Caenorhabditis elegans: one gene and its partners. The protein of the gene in region 2 interacts with the protein of the main gene of each other region in a pairwise test. Each region holds a gene or a part of one and is shown on either strand. Other genes may lie near its edges.

Evidence for each region. Proteins that work in one complex are often made in the same cells at the same time.
Region 1: the proteins of cir-1 (region 2) and mog-3 interact in a two-hybrid assay, tested with the Caenorhabditis elegans proteins (one study listed by BioGRID).
Region 3: the proteins of cir-1 (region 2) and mep-1 interact in a two-hybrid assay, tested with the Caenorhabditis elegans proteins (one study listed by BioGRID).

Annotation. Positions count from the first base shown.
Region 1 is NC_003281.10:5,306,716-5,311,679, reverse strand, and holds mog-3 (Pre-mRNA-splicing factor CWC25 homolog), read right to left. Parts: upstream 3,079-4,964; coding exon 2,915-3,078; intron 2,855-2,914; coding exon 2,441-2,854; intron 2,396-2,440; coding exon 2,330-2,395; intron 2,281-2,329; coding exon 2,185-2,280; intron 2,140-2,184; coding exon 1,923-2,139; intron 1,219-1,922; coding exon 935-1,218; intron 718-934; coding exon 603-717; 3' UTR 544-602; downstream 1-543. Other genes in the region: Putative RNA exonuclease pqe-1, read right to left, coding at 351-420.
Region 2 is NC_003279.8:5,653,290-5,657,672, reverse strand, and holds cir-1 (CBF1-interacting co-repressor CIR N-terminal domain-containing protein), read left to right. Parts: upstream 1-1,815; 5' UTR 1,816-1,852; coding exon 1,853-2,019; intron 2,020-2,066; coding exon 2,067-2,356; intron 2,357-2,405; coding exon 2,406-2,906; intron 2,907-3,032; coding exon 3,033-3,757; 3' UTR 3,758-3,845; downstream 3,846-4,383. Other genes in the region: wdr-12 (Ribosome biogenesis protein WDR12 homolog), read left to right, coding at 47-141, 193-299, 352-476, 528-622, 732-1,053, 1,108-1,233, 1,284-1,416, 1,481-1,607; F55F8.3 (Periodic tryptophan protein 2 homolog), read left to right, coding at 4,097-4,114, 4,169-4,281, 4,326-4,383.
Region 3 is NC_003282.8:11,522,810-11,528,497, reverse strand, and holds mep-1 (MOG interacting and ectopic P-granules protein 1), read right to left. Parts: upstream 3,857-5,688; 5' UTR 3,856-3,856; coding exon 3,733-3,855; intron 3,687-3,732; coding exon 3,344-3,686; intron 3,296-3,343; coding exon 2,353-3,295; intron 2,309-2,352; coding exon 1,812-2,308; intron 1,758-1,811; coding exon 1,465-1,757; intron 1,394-1,464; coding exon 980-1,393; 3' UTR 544-979; downstream 1-543. Other genes in the region: thum-3 (THUMP domain-containing protein), read right to left, coding at 1-330, 377-442. UniProt on the Caenorhabditis elegans protein: Has a broad role in development, specifically in the genetic pathway SynMuvB that negatively regulates specification of the vulval cell fate. Required for fem-3 3'-UTR-mediated repression in the regulation of the sperm/oocyte switch.

The DNA.
Region 1 (4,964 bases), on a different chromosome or scaffold from region 2:
ATTTAGATTTATTTTTGTTAAATTTTCCGAGAAAAAAATCAAAATTTGATTCGGTCACAGATTAGAAAGATTTTTCGGGATTTCAAAGTGAAAAATGTAACCGATTTCGAAACAAACATTTTCTGAAGAAAATCATACGAATATTAGATTTTTTCCGAATTCCAAAGCGAAAATCATTCTTAAAATTAATTTTAAAAATATTTTCAGCAAAAAATCAAGCAGAAAATTTAGGAAAAGAGTACCAGAACAGATTTTTCAACAATTTCAAACGAATAGAAATATTATAAAAACCGTTGAAAAATAACAAAAACAAAGGCATATTTCAGAAAAAGGTGGAAAGTTGAACTCACTCATCGGATCGATTGGTGCATAGTTTTGAAGATTAAAGCTGTTTCCAGATCCATAGCCGCCATTAAACATGGCTGAGATACTTGCTGGAATGATTATTAAGAGAATAAAAATAAAATAAAGCAATAAAAAGATAATAATCTCGGTTTGCGACCGGAATTCCATAATAAAAAAAGAGAAAGTGAGGGAAAGAACAAGAAAATCAATATTTTATAATCAACAAAACATGGGAGTTTAAAAATAACAATTTTTGCTCATTTCTTCGCAAAACTCCGATCCATATACCCGTGTGCTCGTTGAACACCGCGTTTATTACTTTGTAGACGCTTCTCCACTGTCATATCGTCACAGGCTTCGCGCATTTGAGATCTGTAATTAAAAAATACATTTTACAGGAAATTTCACAGTTTTTGTATTAAAAGCTTGTTCCAAGTGAAAACCAGCGTGATCACTGATAAAAATGCATGGGGAATAGGGAATTTCTAGCTTTTGGGGAATAAATAAAGACGGAAATGATGCAAAACCATGCATTTCAGCCAGAACTTTAATAACTGCATACTTTTCTTCTCTGCCGTTCGATACAAACCTAATAAAAGATGGAGCATATCCATTTTTATCCGCCTCTTCCTTCTCCTCATCATCCTCTTTCCGTCCTTTTGTGACATTTCTCTCGCGAATCTCGTCCCTCCATTTCACGTTGTCCTGCTGCATTTCGGCGAGCCGAGCCGCCTTCTCTGCTTCACTCAATGCTCGTCGCGGCTCTCTTGGCGTATTGCCGGTACCACGTCCTGTGGGAATCTTGACAAGCTTGTACTCCTTGGTGGGCGCCCGTGACTCTTCTTCACGTTCCTCGGCTGTTCGCTTTCGCATCTGGAAATAAACAAATTTAATTGAAAAATATTCGTTTTTCTTTAACTTTTAGCATTTTTTCGCAAAAAATAACTTGGAAATGGTTTGAAACTTAAATAACGTTCTTGTTCAAAACTGAGAAAATATAAGAAATTCAATTTTGGAGTCAAAAAATCAATAGTTTCCTTTCATCTATAGAATTGAAAGCATAGAAAATCCAAGAAATCATGGGGAAAACACGGAGGATTCTCATTTTAAGCTTTTCGATCAAAAACCGAATTTCGTGACATTTCCACTTCAGAAAACGGAGCAAAAAATAAAATCAGTGAATTTGTTGACCAATTTCAATGAGAATACAGATTTTCGAAGTAAATATGTCATTTCCAGATGATTTCTTTTTTCACGTGTAAATAGCTTGAGAATGACGGAAAATGGGCAAAATGAAAGTAAATTGTGTTAGAAATGAGCAAACATAGGTGTTAAAATAAGAAAATCACTTCAAAATCAGAAAATTCCTGTAACTCCTCGTGAAAATGTGACAAAAAAATAAAATTGGGATGAAAACTGTTGAAAAAGGATCAGCATTACTGAAATTATTGTTAATCCTCGAATTGTTCGAGGAAAAAATCTGAAAAAGCATGCAAAATTCACTTTTTGACGGAAAATCTAATATGCTAGTTCACTAAAAATTCCTGTAAGAAAAATGTTTAGAACAGCGAATTCACCTCAACCAAGCCATATGACTTCTTTCTCGGATCCTGTCGCTCGTCATCATCACTATTCCGGCGGCGGTGACTGCTCCGAGTTTCGTGCTCAGATTCTGAGCCTGAGCTCGAATCATGACGACTTCGTTGCTGCTGCAGGTGACGTGGAATGTGAGAATCAAACTGTCTTGAAGAGCTCGCTTTGTCGGCAGATCTGGAGCGGGATCTGGACATTTTTCTGAAAAACAAACGAAGTTTTAGACTAACTACCGGCGATTTCTACCTTGGTTCCTCTCTGGATCGCCTCGGAGACCTGGATTTCCGGCGGAGTCGCTCTGCGGATCTTGATCGAGATCTGGATGGCTTTCTGGCAACTTTTCTGGAAAAAAATCATCTTCTATGAGAAAAAAAACTCGACAAATGCGTACCTGGGATCCTCTCGGGATCGTCTTGGAGATTTCGATCGAGAACTGGAAGGTTTCCGGGACAATTTTCTGAAATATTTGTGATAAATTGATATCAAAATTGTCAATTTTTACCTGGACTCTTCACGGGATCGCTTTGGAGATCTTGGTCTTTCTCTTCTGGGCGATCTAGAACGCTTTCTGGGCTTCTCGCTGGGTCTTCTTCTTCGTTTCGGCGATGGCGAGCGTCTTCTTTTTCTTTCTACCCGTTCATCACTGCTTTCATCACTGGAACTCGACGATCGCTTCTTTTTTTTCTTCTTTTTGTCTTTTTTACTCTTTTTCTCTTTACTTTTCTCTGCTTTTGAGGTCATCATACTTTTCAGCGCGGCTTGAAGTCGCATTTTTGTGAGAGGATTATCCATGATTTCCCGACGTTTTGTTTCTTCTCGAACCTTGACGGCGACAAATGGATCTTCGGATTTGATAATATCTTTCTGAAGTGAAGAAGTTTTTAAACCCGTTGATTGTCCGGAATTGAAGACAGCCCTGAAAACTAAAAATTGATTTTTTGTTGCTAATAATCAATTTCCTAATGTTTTAACTCACCTTGTCCCAACAATCGAATCGATTGCTTCTGCTTTCTGCGCATTCACCACATCGGAATACTTTTCAAAGTTCTTGTCAACTTTCTTTCCGAGTAAATAGTCTTCTCGGTGTACATTTCCTTTAGCGCCTTCATACATCCACCCGATTGATACATCTTTGCTCATCTGAACAAAAATCGATTAATGAACGATTTTAAACGAAAAATGTAAAAATCGCGAAGAAAAACCATCAAAAACCACGAGTTTACACTTCAAAACGCGTTGCGCAACCGGTTGCTAAGGAAAAATCAATATAGGTCAAAACTCGGCCATGGCCTCCCGGCCACCGGTGGTTCTAGGCCATTGTTGGTGAAATGCGCGGTATTTCAAATGGAGAAGGGGAGATTTAATACAATTCACAGTTTTTTTTGCTTTTCAATGATTGGAAAGAAAAATTAATTTTAAAAGAGTGTTTTTCGAATTTGGTGTTAAGGAGCAGCAAATTCCATCGCTCTCATACTAATATATAAACCAAAAAACATTGAAAATAGCCAAATTAACTCAGTTTTTATTTGGTTTTTTCCAATTTTATAAAATTTTACAAATATGGAACAAATTTTCTAGATGTTTGGCACTAAAATTGGCTGAAATGTGTTGCTGGGAACTGAAAGTTAGTTTACCAAGTAAGTTGGTTAAACTAAATCAATAAGTAAGAACTTCTATAACTTCTCGGTTATTGAAGATGAATTACAGTCTAACCTTTTCAGAATAAAACTAGAGAAAATTGGCAACTAACATAATTAACGACATATTATGAAAAAGTTAGTTTCCGTTTATTTCCTAATCTCCGTATTTCCGTGCGTTATATATAACAGCTGACCTTTTCCAGGTCACCAAAGACAACTGTTTCATTGCGTAGTTCATTGTTGTAACTTTATCGTAAACGAAGATACGAAAAAAAAGTTTACAGCGAACAAATTCATTTCCTATGAATTTTTCTAACCGTAACGAAAAAGGAAAAGCTGTTCAATTGTGGTTTCGATCTGTGTAACTTTTTTCGAAATTAAAAATAGAAATGTGCAAACTAACAAATTCAAGGCAAATCTGAGGCACAATACCCAAACTAACGGAGCCAACAATTGCCGGGGAGATTTTGAAAGGGAGGGAGAGGAATATGTGATGTTAAAAGACACCAGAAAAGACCTAATTTCGATCGTCCGACTTGTTAAAAAAAGAGGAATGCCCAGGAACAGGTGTGAGATTCGCTACACTTTGTCAGTTGACAATTTTTCCTAGCATCGCTTTGAAAATGTTAAGGCATCAGACACATGAATTACTCTAGTGTATGCATTTTGCAAACTACCGTAATTTCGGACACATCACGGTGAGCTGGAATAAAATAAATAGATACCCGGTATGAGGAAAGAAGGATGAACTAAATCTGTCCAAGACGCTGTGATTTTATACAAAACTTTGTGAGAGGCGGAGCAAAACCGAATGTCGTCGAAATATCAACAAAAAAAAGTGGGCGGATCAATGAGCTGTCACATGTTTTGATTTTCTGTCTTCGTCTTTTTGTTCTTAGGATGTTTCGTATTTTTGTGTTAAAGATCTGGCGGAAGGAAACATGATTTTTTGTCTTCATTGCATTAACATATGAGTGGAGAAAAATGAAAAGGCTATTTATATTATTATGAAAAAGCAAAGGAACATAAATAGAAAACGTATCCCTATTCTACAGAAAAATTTGATAATTTACTTTGAATTTTTCGTTTCCCACTAACTTAAACCTACATAACAAGATAAGCTTCATCAAATCCCCATTACCCCCAATATGTCCAATCAGAAGATATTTAAATCCAGCCGGATACCATCTCGCTTGATCGTGGGAGTTCCGAAATATTTTTGAATTTTTTCCCTTAGATATTCGAAATCAGGGGAAAATTAGGAGTAATTCAGAATTTCGATTCGAATGAAACCAACGAATGCATCTTTAGGCCTCGCATAGATGAAGCTGTTCCGTAGGGACCAATGAAGCTGGCTAATTAAAGCTTATCAGTTGTGGCTTATCA
Region 2 (4,383 bases):
ATTTCAGCTATTTCAAATAAAAATGTTATACAATTTTATTTTTCAGGTGCATGGAAAGAGCGGCGATTCGAATTTCTGGTTGGTGAAACGTTTTTGCGCACGAGTCTAGCTGAATTCATCGAGGAATACGAAGTGGAAACGGTAAATTTCATTTAAAAAAAGTTTAGAGTTTTAATAAAACAAGCTCTGCAGGAAACAATCCTTAAAGTGGAATGCGTAATTGGAATTGAAGCTCCAAAACCACTTCATGATATCCAAGCGCCTGATTGGGTTTCTTCGGTACAAATCGCAAACGGCCAGTATGTTTTTTCCGCTTAATGTTTGGTAAAAGTCTCATTCTGAAATTTTCAGCATTTTCTCAACAACCTACGGAGGAGACATTGTAATTGTGGATCGTAAAGGAAAAGAGACAAAGTTGGCTGTTAATTCAGCAAATCGTCTTTTAAAGTGCATCTCAATCGTCAAAGCACCATCTAGTCAGTTTTAACACTAGTTGAAATTTAAAAAAACGATAATTTTTGTTTCAGAGAAAAATCAATTGGACGGTACAGAATTTGTGGTCGGCGGTGAAAATCAACTGCTGACTCTCTATGCAATTGAAAAAGGAGCACTTGTTGAGAAGGTTAGGTGTTCGAATTTCGGGGTTATCAGTTTTATCAATAAATTTTGTTTCGAAAATTCTTTTTTTTTATTTTGCAGTCATTACTTCATTCTTAATAAAAATTTTCCAGCTCATCCTTCGTGGTCATGAACGTGCCGTCGAATGTGTTTCAGTCAACTCGGATTCGACCCGTGCGATTTCTGGATCAGTCGACACAAATCTCAAAATTTGGAACTTGGATGCATCTGATGAAGCAACAACATATGAGAAAGAAGAAGAAGAAGAAAGTGCGAAGAAACGCCGAAAGAAAGAAACCAAAACTAAAGTTCCGATGGTTACGATTGGAGGGCATCGTGACAAAGTATCCGCAGTCGAATGGTGTCCATGGAATTCTGGACACGCATTTTCGTGCTCGTGGGATCATACTATTGTTGAATGGGATTTGGAATTAGGTTAGTTCTAATGATAAATATCCTATTTATATACAAAAAATAATTTCATTCAAGCTGGTGAAATTTCGCGGATCAAAGGACCCAAATCATTCACAAGCATTGATCTTCATCCGAAGAGTGATCTTCTCATCTCCAGTTGTACTGATGCTATTCCAAGACTTTATGATCCAAAAAATAGAGGTTTGTTTGTTAATATTTATTTAGTCTCTTGTATTTATAAAACATTTCAGATGGAAGTATGGTTAAACAATCATTCATTGGACATCAAAATGGATGGGTTGAAGCTGTCAAATGGAATCCGTTGGATACAAATCAATTTGTTAGTGTTTCCACCGACAAAACTGCGAAAATGTGGGATGTAAGGTAGGTCTTGTTTCAAAAATTAAAGAACCATTCAGTTTTTACTTTAATATTCGGTTTGTTTCAGATCCTCAAAGTCTTCATTGTTCGACATTCATGGACACGATGATCGTATTTTGTGTGCCACGTGGAATGAAGGACTAATTGCAACTGGATCCGCAGACTGCACAATCAAAATCTTTGAGACTGCTTGATTTGTTTTGTTTTTTGTTATTCTACAAATTCTTATATTGTTTTTTTTTCTATATACCGCGTTTTCTATTTGTTGATTTTGATTTTTTGTTGAACTTTTTATGAAGTTATCCACTTGAATTTATTTTCCATTACCTTCTGACAGTTTTGAACTGTGTTAAATATTTCAATTATTTTTCTTTCTTCAATTTTTCATTCAAGTATTTTCAGAATTTTTCAGTGAGAATCAAAACAAAAGCGTTGCAAAATGGGGAAGGGTTTTCAAAACTTCATGTCCAAAAAGGACTTCCATCCATCCGCTTTTCGGAATCTCAAAATGGTCTGGGAAGCACGACAGAAGAAGTCTTTGGAGGACAAACGACAAGAAGAACTTCGAGTTGCTTATGAGAAAGAGCAAGAAATTTTGAATAACAAGTATGTTGCATTCAATATCTTCTCACTAGATTATAAATATTTTTCAGAGCTCTTCTTGGAGACGAAAAGGCCAAAATGGGATTATCGTTCATGTATGATGCTCCAGCTGGAATGACAAAGAGAGAAGAACCGAAAGAAGAGCCGAAATTCGAATGGCAACGGAAATATCAAGCACCACGTGAAGATTGGGCTAAAGGAAATGAAGAGATCCAAGATCAACCATTCGGAATTCAAGTTAGAAATGTTCGATGCTGTAAATGCCACAAATGGGGTCATATAAATACGGATCGAGAATGTCCATTGTTCGGAAAATCTGGAAATTTTGAAGATGAAGGATGTAAGTTTCCGAAAAAAAATCGAATTAAATGTGTAAAATCAATTTTCAGATGCAAATAATCCATCAGACCTAATCAAAGATCTTCGTCGGAGACGACAGGAAGGCAAAGCAGGACCTTCAACATCGAAATCGTCTGCTGCTGCGGCGACAGGAGAAGATGACGATGAGGATGAGTGGATGGATCATCAGCAACTTGCGAGTGATATGCGTGAAGAACATGGAATCAAACTCAAAAGTTCTGTTTTGGCTGGAATGCAGACAGATCAACAGCTAACAAGAATGAAAAAAGAAATGACCGAAGAAGAAATGATGCTGGAGTTTTTCAATTCGATGACTGAAAAGGAAAAAAAGAAATTGCATAAGAAGCTGATGAGCGGTGCAGATTTGGAAGATGTAATGAAGAAGAAGAGTAAAAAAGAGAAGAAGAAGGAAAAGAAAGAGAAACGGAAGAATAAAGACAAGAAGAAAGATAAGAAGAAAAATAAGAAGAGCAAATCTCGTGAAACTGATGACGATTCTGATGGCAGCGATAGTGAGGATGATTGGAAAGGTATTTAAAGATGAGGTTTTTACATAATTAATTTGATCCTAAACACTTGTTCATTGATATCAAATATTAACGAAACGCTTAGAGTAGTTATTAGTTTCTCGATTTTTCAACCAGTTCATGTTTCAGAAAAATCATCGAAAAGGATCAAAAGAGAAGTGGAAAGTTCTCCGGAATACAGATCGAAGTATATCAAGCAGGAAGTTTTATCAGAAGACGAGAATTCCCATGGAAGAAAGGATTCGAGCCGAAAAAGAGCGCATAATGATTCAGAATCGTCAAACGAAGTAAGATCGTCAGAGAGGAAGAGATCTCGAAGAGATGATTCTCCGAACGCCAAAAGAAGTATCGGGTTGAAATCGCCGGAGAGGAGAAGCTCACGAGATCGGAAATCTTCACCCAAACAACGTCAGGATTCACCAGTGAGAAGACGGCGAAGTCCATCGTCGATTCGGAAGGAAAGTCAGCGTGTTCGTAAACATTCACCAGAACAAAAAAGAAATGGCCGTCATGATTCACGATCAGTGTCCCCTGTTAGAAGACGTCGTTCTCCGTCTCCTGACAATCGTCAGCTGGGTTCGAGAAAACAATACTCGCCACTGCGACGTCGCCAATCATCTCCGATGGTTGCATCACCAAGAAGACGTAGATCTCCATCACCAGAACGACAGCGCAAGAGACGTTCACCATCCGATTCCCCGCCAACAAGGCGTCTTTCTACGTCACCGATCCGACGTCGTAGAAGTCCATCGCCCAACAAGTTGCCTGTGAGAAGGCGTCGTCATGATTCCGGATCGCCTGATCGTGATGGATCTGAATCACCGAAAATGTGGAGAAAGAAGTCGCATAAATGAACGCTATTCAAATCAATTTTTAAAATTATTAAATGTGGTTTTCTTTTAAATTTTTTCCGTCATGTCTAATAAAGTATTTTCACACATTTTTGCTGTTTATAAATTTCTTGTATTTGGTGTTTTATAAATAATATTCTTAAGAATATTCTTCAATGGAAATGTTTTTATCTCTCATTGCGATACTTCTAAAATCCGCAATTGCGTCAACGCACGAGAATTGCGCCAATGAAGATTCTTAGCGCGGAATTCGTGCTTTGTATTTTATATAAATAAAATATATTTTAGTTTTCATTATTTCTTCCATTTTCAGCTTGTTTCATTGAAGTCTTGCCATTCACTATGGACACTAATTTCAAGGTAATTATTTGAAGCGTTAATTATTCAATTAATATTCCACCAAACCCATTTTAGTTGTCCAATTGCATTGGTACAGTGTATCGAGACGGTCAAGTGGCGTTCAGCAAAGATGGATACTCAGTGATTTCACCTATTGGCAACAAGCTATCAATTTTTGATCTCAGAAAGTAAAAAATAATTTTATATTCACATTTGATATATAATTTTTCAGCAATACTTCAAAAACATTGGATATTGACTGCAATTACAACATTAAAAGACTCTCTATT
Region 3 (5,688 bases), on a different chromosome or scaffold from region 2:
CGTAACTTCACTATATATTCGATCTTTTTTAAATTGTTGAATCTGTTTCAAAATCTTTTCACTTCCTCCGTTAATCGCGTTTCCACGTGCCAATTGATAAGCTTCAATTGCCAATTTCCAGTTACAAAATGAAATTTGCGATTGAATAGTTTTCAATGCATCTTCTTTTTGCATTTCAGACAGCTTTTCAATTGTTTCTTCATAAAAAACCATATAAAGATTATCGATTGATCGAAGTTGCAGAGTCTCGTTTACACGTTCCAGATCTATTGAAAATCTTACATTTCCACGTCCTGGATGGCATTTTTTAGGCGAAAATAATTTTGAAATCTGAAGGAACTCGAGTAAGATATTTTATCTAGTTTTCAGGATTTACCTCTTTTGCTGCAACTTTTTCAAAACCGGTGATGACAGCAGCACAGATTTCAACGGAGTCTGTCATTTGTCTGAATATCTTTCGTATCTGTTGAAATAGATTCCTCCAAATATTATGAGAAAATCTGAATCTTATTTCTGAAAATAGTTTCAAAAAGAATGGTTTGTAAAGGTGATAATATTTATATGATAGATATCTTCCAAAAATCTTAACTGGACAAATGGTAAAAAAAGTATGAGATGGGGGAGAACAACAGACGTATGAAGTGAAAGTGTATACTGATCTGTCTTATGGGGAATTGCAATTTGATTTTACATGATAATTGTGGGGTAGTTAGGTTTTGAAAAAAAAATAGGGAGTTTTGAAGGTAGGGGAAGATGCGAGAATAAACCAGATATCATGAAGAGAAAAATTGGGGAAATAAAGTAAAGTACTGATTGATTTCGGTTCCGGAACCCGCAATAGAATGTGTATATCAATGAAAGTGGGAGAACTGGTGATTTAAAATGATTGAATGTAAAGAATAAGAGAAATAATTGAGATCATTGTGAAGAATGTTTCCAGCACTCATTCGTAGAACGGGATAAGCCATTCGTTTTCCTATTAATCATCCAGAGTAATACAATCATCTTTTTTTGCTGGTGTTGATGTCTTCTTATCTCCTTTTGGGTGATTTGAAGTGAGATGGGCTTCCAGAGTCTGATAACTCGAGCATTTGAACGCGCACACATCGCACGAGTACATGATTTCAGCCGAGCACAACTTCACTTGATGATCAGCTACCAAGTGTTGAAGCATGTTGAACGCATAGTTCTTGCCGCATGTCTTGCATCGACCTCCGTCTTCCTTCTTTTGCGCTTTGAGGAGCAGATCAGCAGTGACGAGACCATGCGACATCACCAAGTGCCGCTCCAACCCTTCATAAGTCCAGAATCTGTCACGGCATCGAGAACATGCCAGTGGAGCTCCTTGCGACATGTCCTGCAGCACTTTTCCAACCATCTGCTTATGAGTAGTCTGAAAATGTGATGTTTAAGATATTTAATAATCGGTTTTGAAATTGAAATAGAAACGTTTCTTAAAATTACCTGAAGATGCTGTAGATACTTCTCCTTTTCCTGCACTGACGCATCACAAATTTCGCATACAAACGTGGGAGCTGAAGAAGAGCCAACAGTAGCATGAGACGGCGTAGTAACAAGTTTCGAACTTCTGTGTGTTGGCGTCTTTTGACTGTTCTGGCTTCTCATGGAGTTCACCGCAGCCTGAAGTTGTTGAGCTCCTTGTTGCGACTTCAAAGCTGCCATTTGCTTTTGGAGAAGTTGAGAAACTGCCAGCGAATTTCCTTGTTGACCACCTCTACGCAACGACGCTTGCATTGCTGAAATATAAATAATTATACAAAATACTTATTTAAAATATGTTTAGCTATTACCTGCAATCAGAGTGTTATGATTCACATTTCCTTGATTCTGCTGTGCACGTTGAGCCTGCGCTGATTGTTGTTGCAGCAGTTGAGCCACTTGCCGGAATTGGGCCGCTTGCTGTTGCTCACGAAGACGAGCCTGTTGCTGTTGTTGTTGCTGTTGTAATTGTTGCTTCCGTAAGAGTTGCGCAGCGGCTGCAGCTTGTGCTGCTTGCTGTTGATGCAGAAGTTGCTGTTGCTTCTTTTGTTGAGCTTGCTGAAGAGCAGCTTGTTGCTGCTGTTGAAGAATGCTGGGATCCAATTGGGGCCTCTCCCAGAGCCATCTGTTGATATAGAGATGATCGTCTTGCTTCGGCATCATGATGTTTCGAATGCGAATGTAGTCCTTCTTGCACTGCTTGTAATGCTGCTCACGGACACCTTTGAAATTGAAGTCTTCTTCGCAGATTGCACATGGATACTTGGACTCCTTCTCTTCCGATTTTGCAATAACAAGATGAGTTTCGCTGTAATTAAATGAATATTGAAAGATGAAAAAAAAAAAACTTACAAGTAGTGATCCTTCATTCTTTGCTCACTCGTGTCCGTCTCTTTACACATGGTGCACTGGAATTTGGATCCTGTGAAGTGCAAATTCTCCTTGTGAGTGCTCATAACCAGCTTTGATTCCGTCTGGAATCCACAGACGTCGCATCGATGCATTTTCAACTTGTACGGCTCATTTTTGCGTTTCAATGTCTCCCAAACTGGTTTCAACTGCGCAGCGACTTGCTTATAGGTTTCAAGATTTTTTGGCACCTCTGGAAGATTCTTCGCGTGAACTATATCACAATAGGTAGCTTCTTGAACGAGATCCTGTCCAATGTCCACGAGCAGTTTTGTCATATTTGGAACAGGATTATGTTGTTTCAGCTGAGCTCTCTCTCGTTTCTCGGAATCACTCAACTTTGGTCTTTCTTCTCCAAACATCCTGTTGATAACCTTCGTCAAAGGCATTTCGGGATCGTGCTCAATCAATAAGTCGCAAACTTGACTTGGTGGGAATGATATTGTGTTTGGGAGAACGAGAACTTTGTCCAGGATCAGCTTCCGAACCGACAGAGGCTCCTTTTGAACTTGCGCATTGATTGCTCCGAGAAGAGTGTCCAGAACTTTTCGGCTTTTGCTGGATGGTTGATCCTTCTGCTCCTTCACATACTCTTCCAGCTTGTCGAGCAATCTCTTCTGCGCCTGCTCATTGTTGTCCTCTTCTGGAACGCTTGTCGCCTTGACATCATCAATTTTAGCTTTTTTAGCTGGGGCAGGGGTAGAAATTTCCTGAATCTCGTCATCATCGTCGTCGTCGAGTTCGATGCATTCGACAGGCCGCTTCACACCCTTCCCATTCTGTTCGACAGGCATTGAAGAATCTTCTGGCTCTTTCTCTGTAGCGATCTCAGTTGTTCCGTTTACGGAAGGTTCTGGCTCCTCTTCATCTAGCACCTCCTCAGTAACTGAAAATAGAAAGTTAAAATTAAACTTGGTAAAATTATAAAACACACCTGTTCCGTTGGCAGTATCCTCCGACTTTCCGTTCGGCTCCTCAGTGATTTCCATAACATCGCCATCATCGTCTTGTTCAATCTCAGATGATGCCACAGTCACTTCGGAAGCCCCCTCATCCTTTTTACGCGCTTCCTCTTCGATTGGAACCGATGTAGATGCAGCATCACCGTTTTCATCAGATCCATCAGGTGAGGGATCCGTAGACTCTTCGGTGTCATCTATCTCGATCACTTCCACGTCTGCAGATGCCGCTTCCTCTTTTCCGTTCTCTTGATTTCCGTTGACTTCGGAACCATTCGCCGCGTCGGCCATCACTTCGCGCTGTTCTGCCTTCAGCTGCTGAAAACGTTTTATTCAGATTTAAATTCCCAAAACTTTTCCTCACCTCAATTGTGTCTGGCTCCGAATCTGAGGACGATTCACCAGCGCTTCTCGGATCCGTTGGTTCCACAGACATGGAAGTGGTGTTGGTCGTTGTGGCGAGTACCGTCTCGTCGGCGGTGACCATTCTGGAAAAATAGAGTCTAGATAGTGAGAAATAGGCAAAGAGAGAGTGATGAGAAGGAAGCAAATTAGGACAGTTACAGTCGGAGAGGTGGGAGATTCAAACTGGTAGGAATAAAATGCGCGCGCGCGGCAAGCCAGATTTGAACGCACAAGAGAACCAGCTGTGGTAAGTGACTGAGTATCAAACGTGGTACGCAGCCAAATCGGCCTCTCTCCTCCCCTTCCTCGGCCGCTGGTCGCAGCCGCCGACGCTGAGAAGAAGGGTGAGCAGCACTCGTCCTGCTCGCATGCGTCTCTTCACTGGCAGTACTCTCTCATCGGTCCGTCCTGGTATTCCGCGTCGGGAGCGTCAACAGAATCATGCTTCAATCACCAAAAAATAAGCCGGGCAACTTGTAGCAATTGGAATTTACAAACACATTTTGTTAGAGCGCTGCGTACTTCATTATGATTCATCCGAAAAGTTCATCAAAATGATTTACTGTAACGATAAAGGCAGATAAATTTAAAACAGTTAATTTTAAAAGTTCAAGCACGCAACCTAATTACACAATCTGATATATCCATTATACTGATTCTCAAAGCGAATAAACCGGGGCTCACTATTAATTACGAAAACCGAAAAGTTTGAACACGTCCCACCCGGGCGGTGCGGATGGCGACGGCGCGGTGTGTGAGGCGAAATGATGTGTGTATGTCATGAGTGTGTGAGCGTTCCGTGAGCGCATGAATGAGTGTTTTGTGAGCGTGACGTGCGTGGCGACGGGTTGTTGTGGTCTCGCCATCATAACCTTAAATGGTCTAAAAATTCATAACCGCCATTGTCGGTTAGGCCGGGTGCTGTCTTTATGGGCTGCGAACTATCTTCTACCAGGAAGACGCCCGTTCCTAAAACTTGAGAATCAGCTAAATATTTCTATAGCGTTTTCTAGGAAATTTCTACAGGCCTTAAATATAAATTCCGATTAAACATTAAACGAAAATCTAAGATGTTGAAAGGATCGTGTTAGGATCAGCGCTATATCAGCTGGAAGTGTGAATTCCTTTGCATCTAGAATACAAATGATAGTAACCTGAACTAAATTCGGTGCATTTCAATTGAAGTTGGCGTCTTTCTTCATTCTCAAGTTAAATCGAATTCTCGTAGGTTTGTAAATTTTTGATAAAAATTAGAACCTGATTTCGTAATTTAGGTTTCTGTGAGATTCAGCAGTTCTAGGATACATTCGAAAAGTTTGTGAGAGAAAAGTTATGACTATTCATGTTTTGAAACGATAATGACCTTATAATCATGAGGATCAACATTTCTGAGGATATACTACTCGCTGGGCACTATAAACTAATGGAAAAACTGCATTTCTGAAAAAAAGTGACACAATGAAGAAAGATATTTGCAAGATCAGTCAATGTGGGATTGACACCGTTGTATTTATTAATTGAGTATTTCCTCGGGTCTCGCCACGAAATCGCAACAGGTGCAGTTTCGATAGCAAGGGAGTGAACGTTGGTTCTCAGCCACACATTCGCTCAATTTGAAATTTTTGTGTTTTCAAGATTCAATTGCAGCTAAATAGAGAACCGAATATTCATTCTCGACGGGTTACTGTATTGTCGAAACAGATGGATGAAACGTCATATAAAAGCTATAACACTAGAATCAGCAGGTGGAAAAACTCGGACTACAAATTATCTCAAATTTGGAAAAATTGGCGACACGTCGCCGCTGCGGCAAAACTCGCGCGTTTTCTCAAAGATTCTCGATTCGCAATACTCTATCGCCTCGACCCTCCGAATTTCATATGATCTTTCTCCGCTTCTTTAACTACGGGTACAC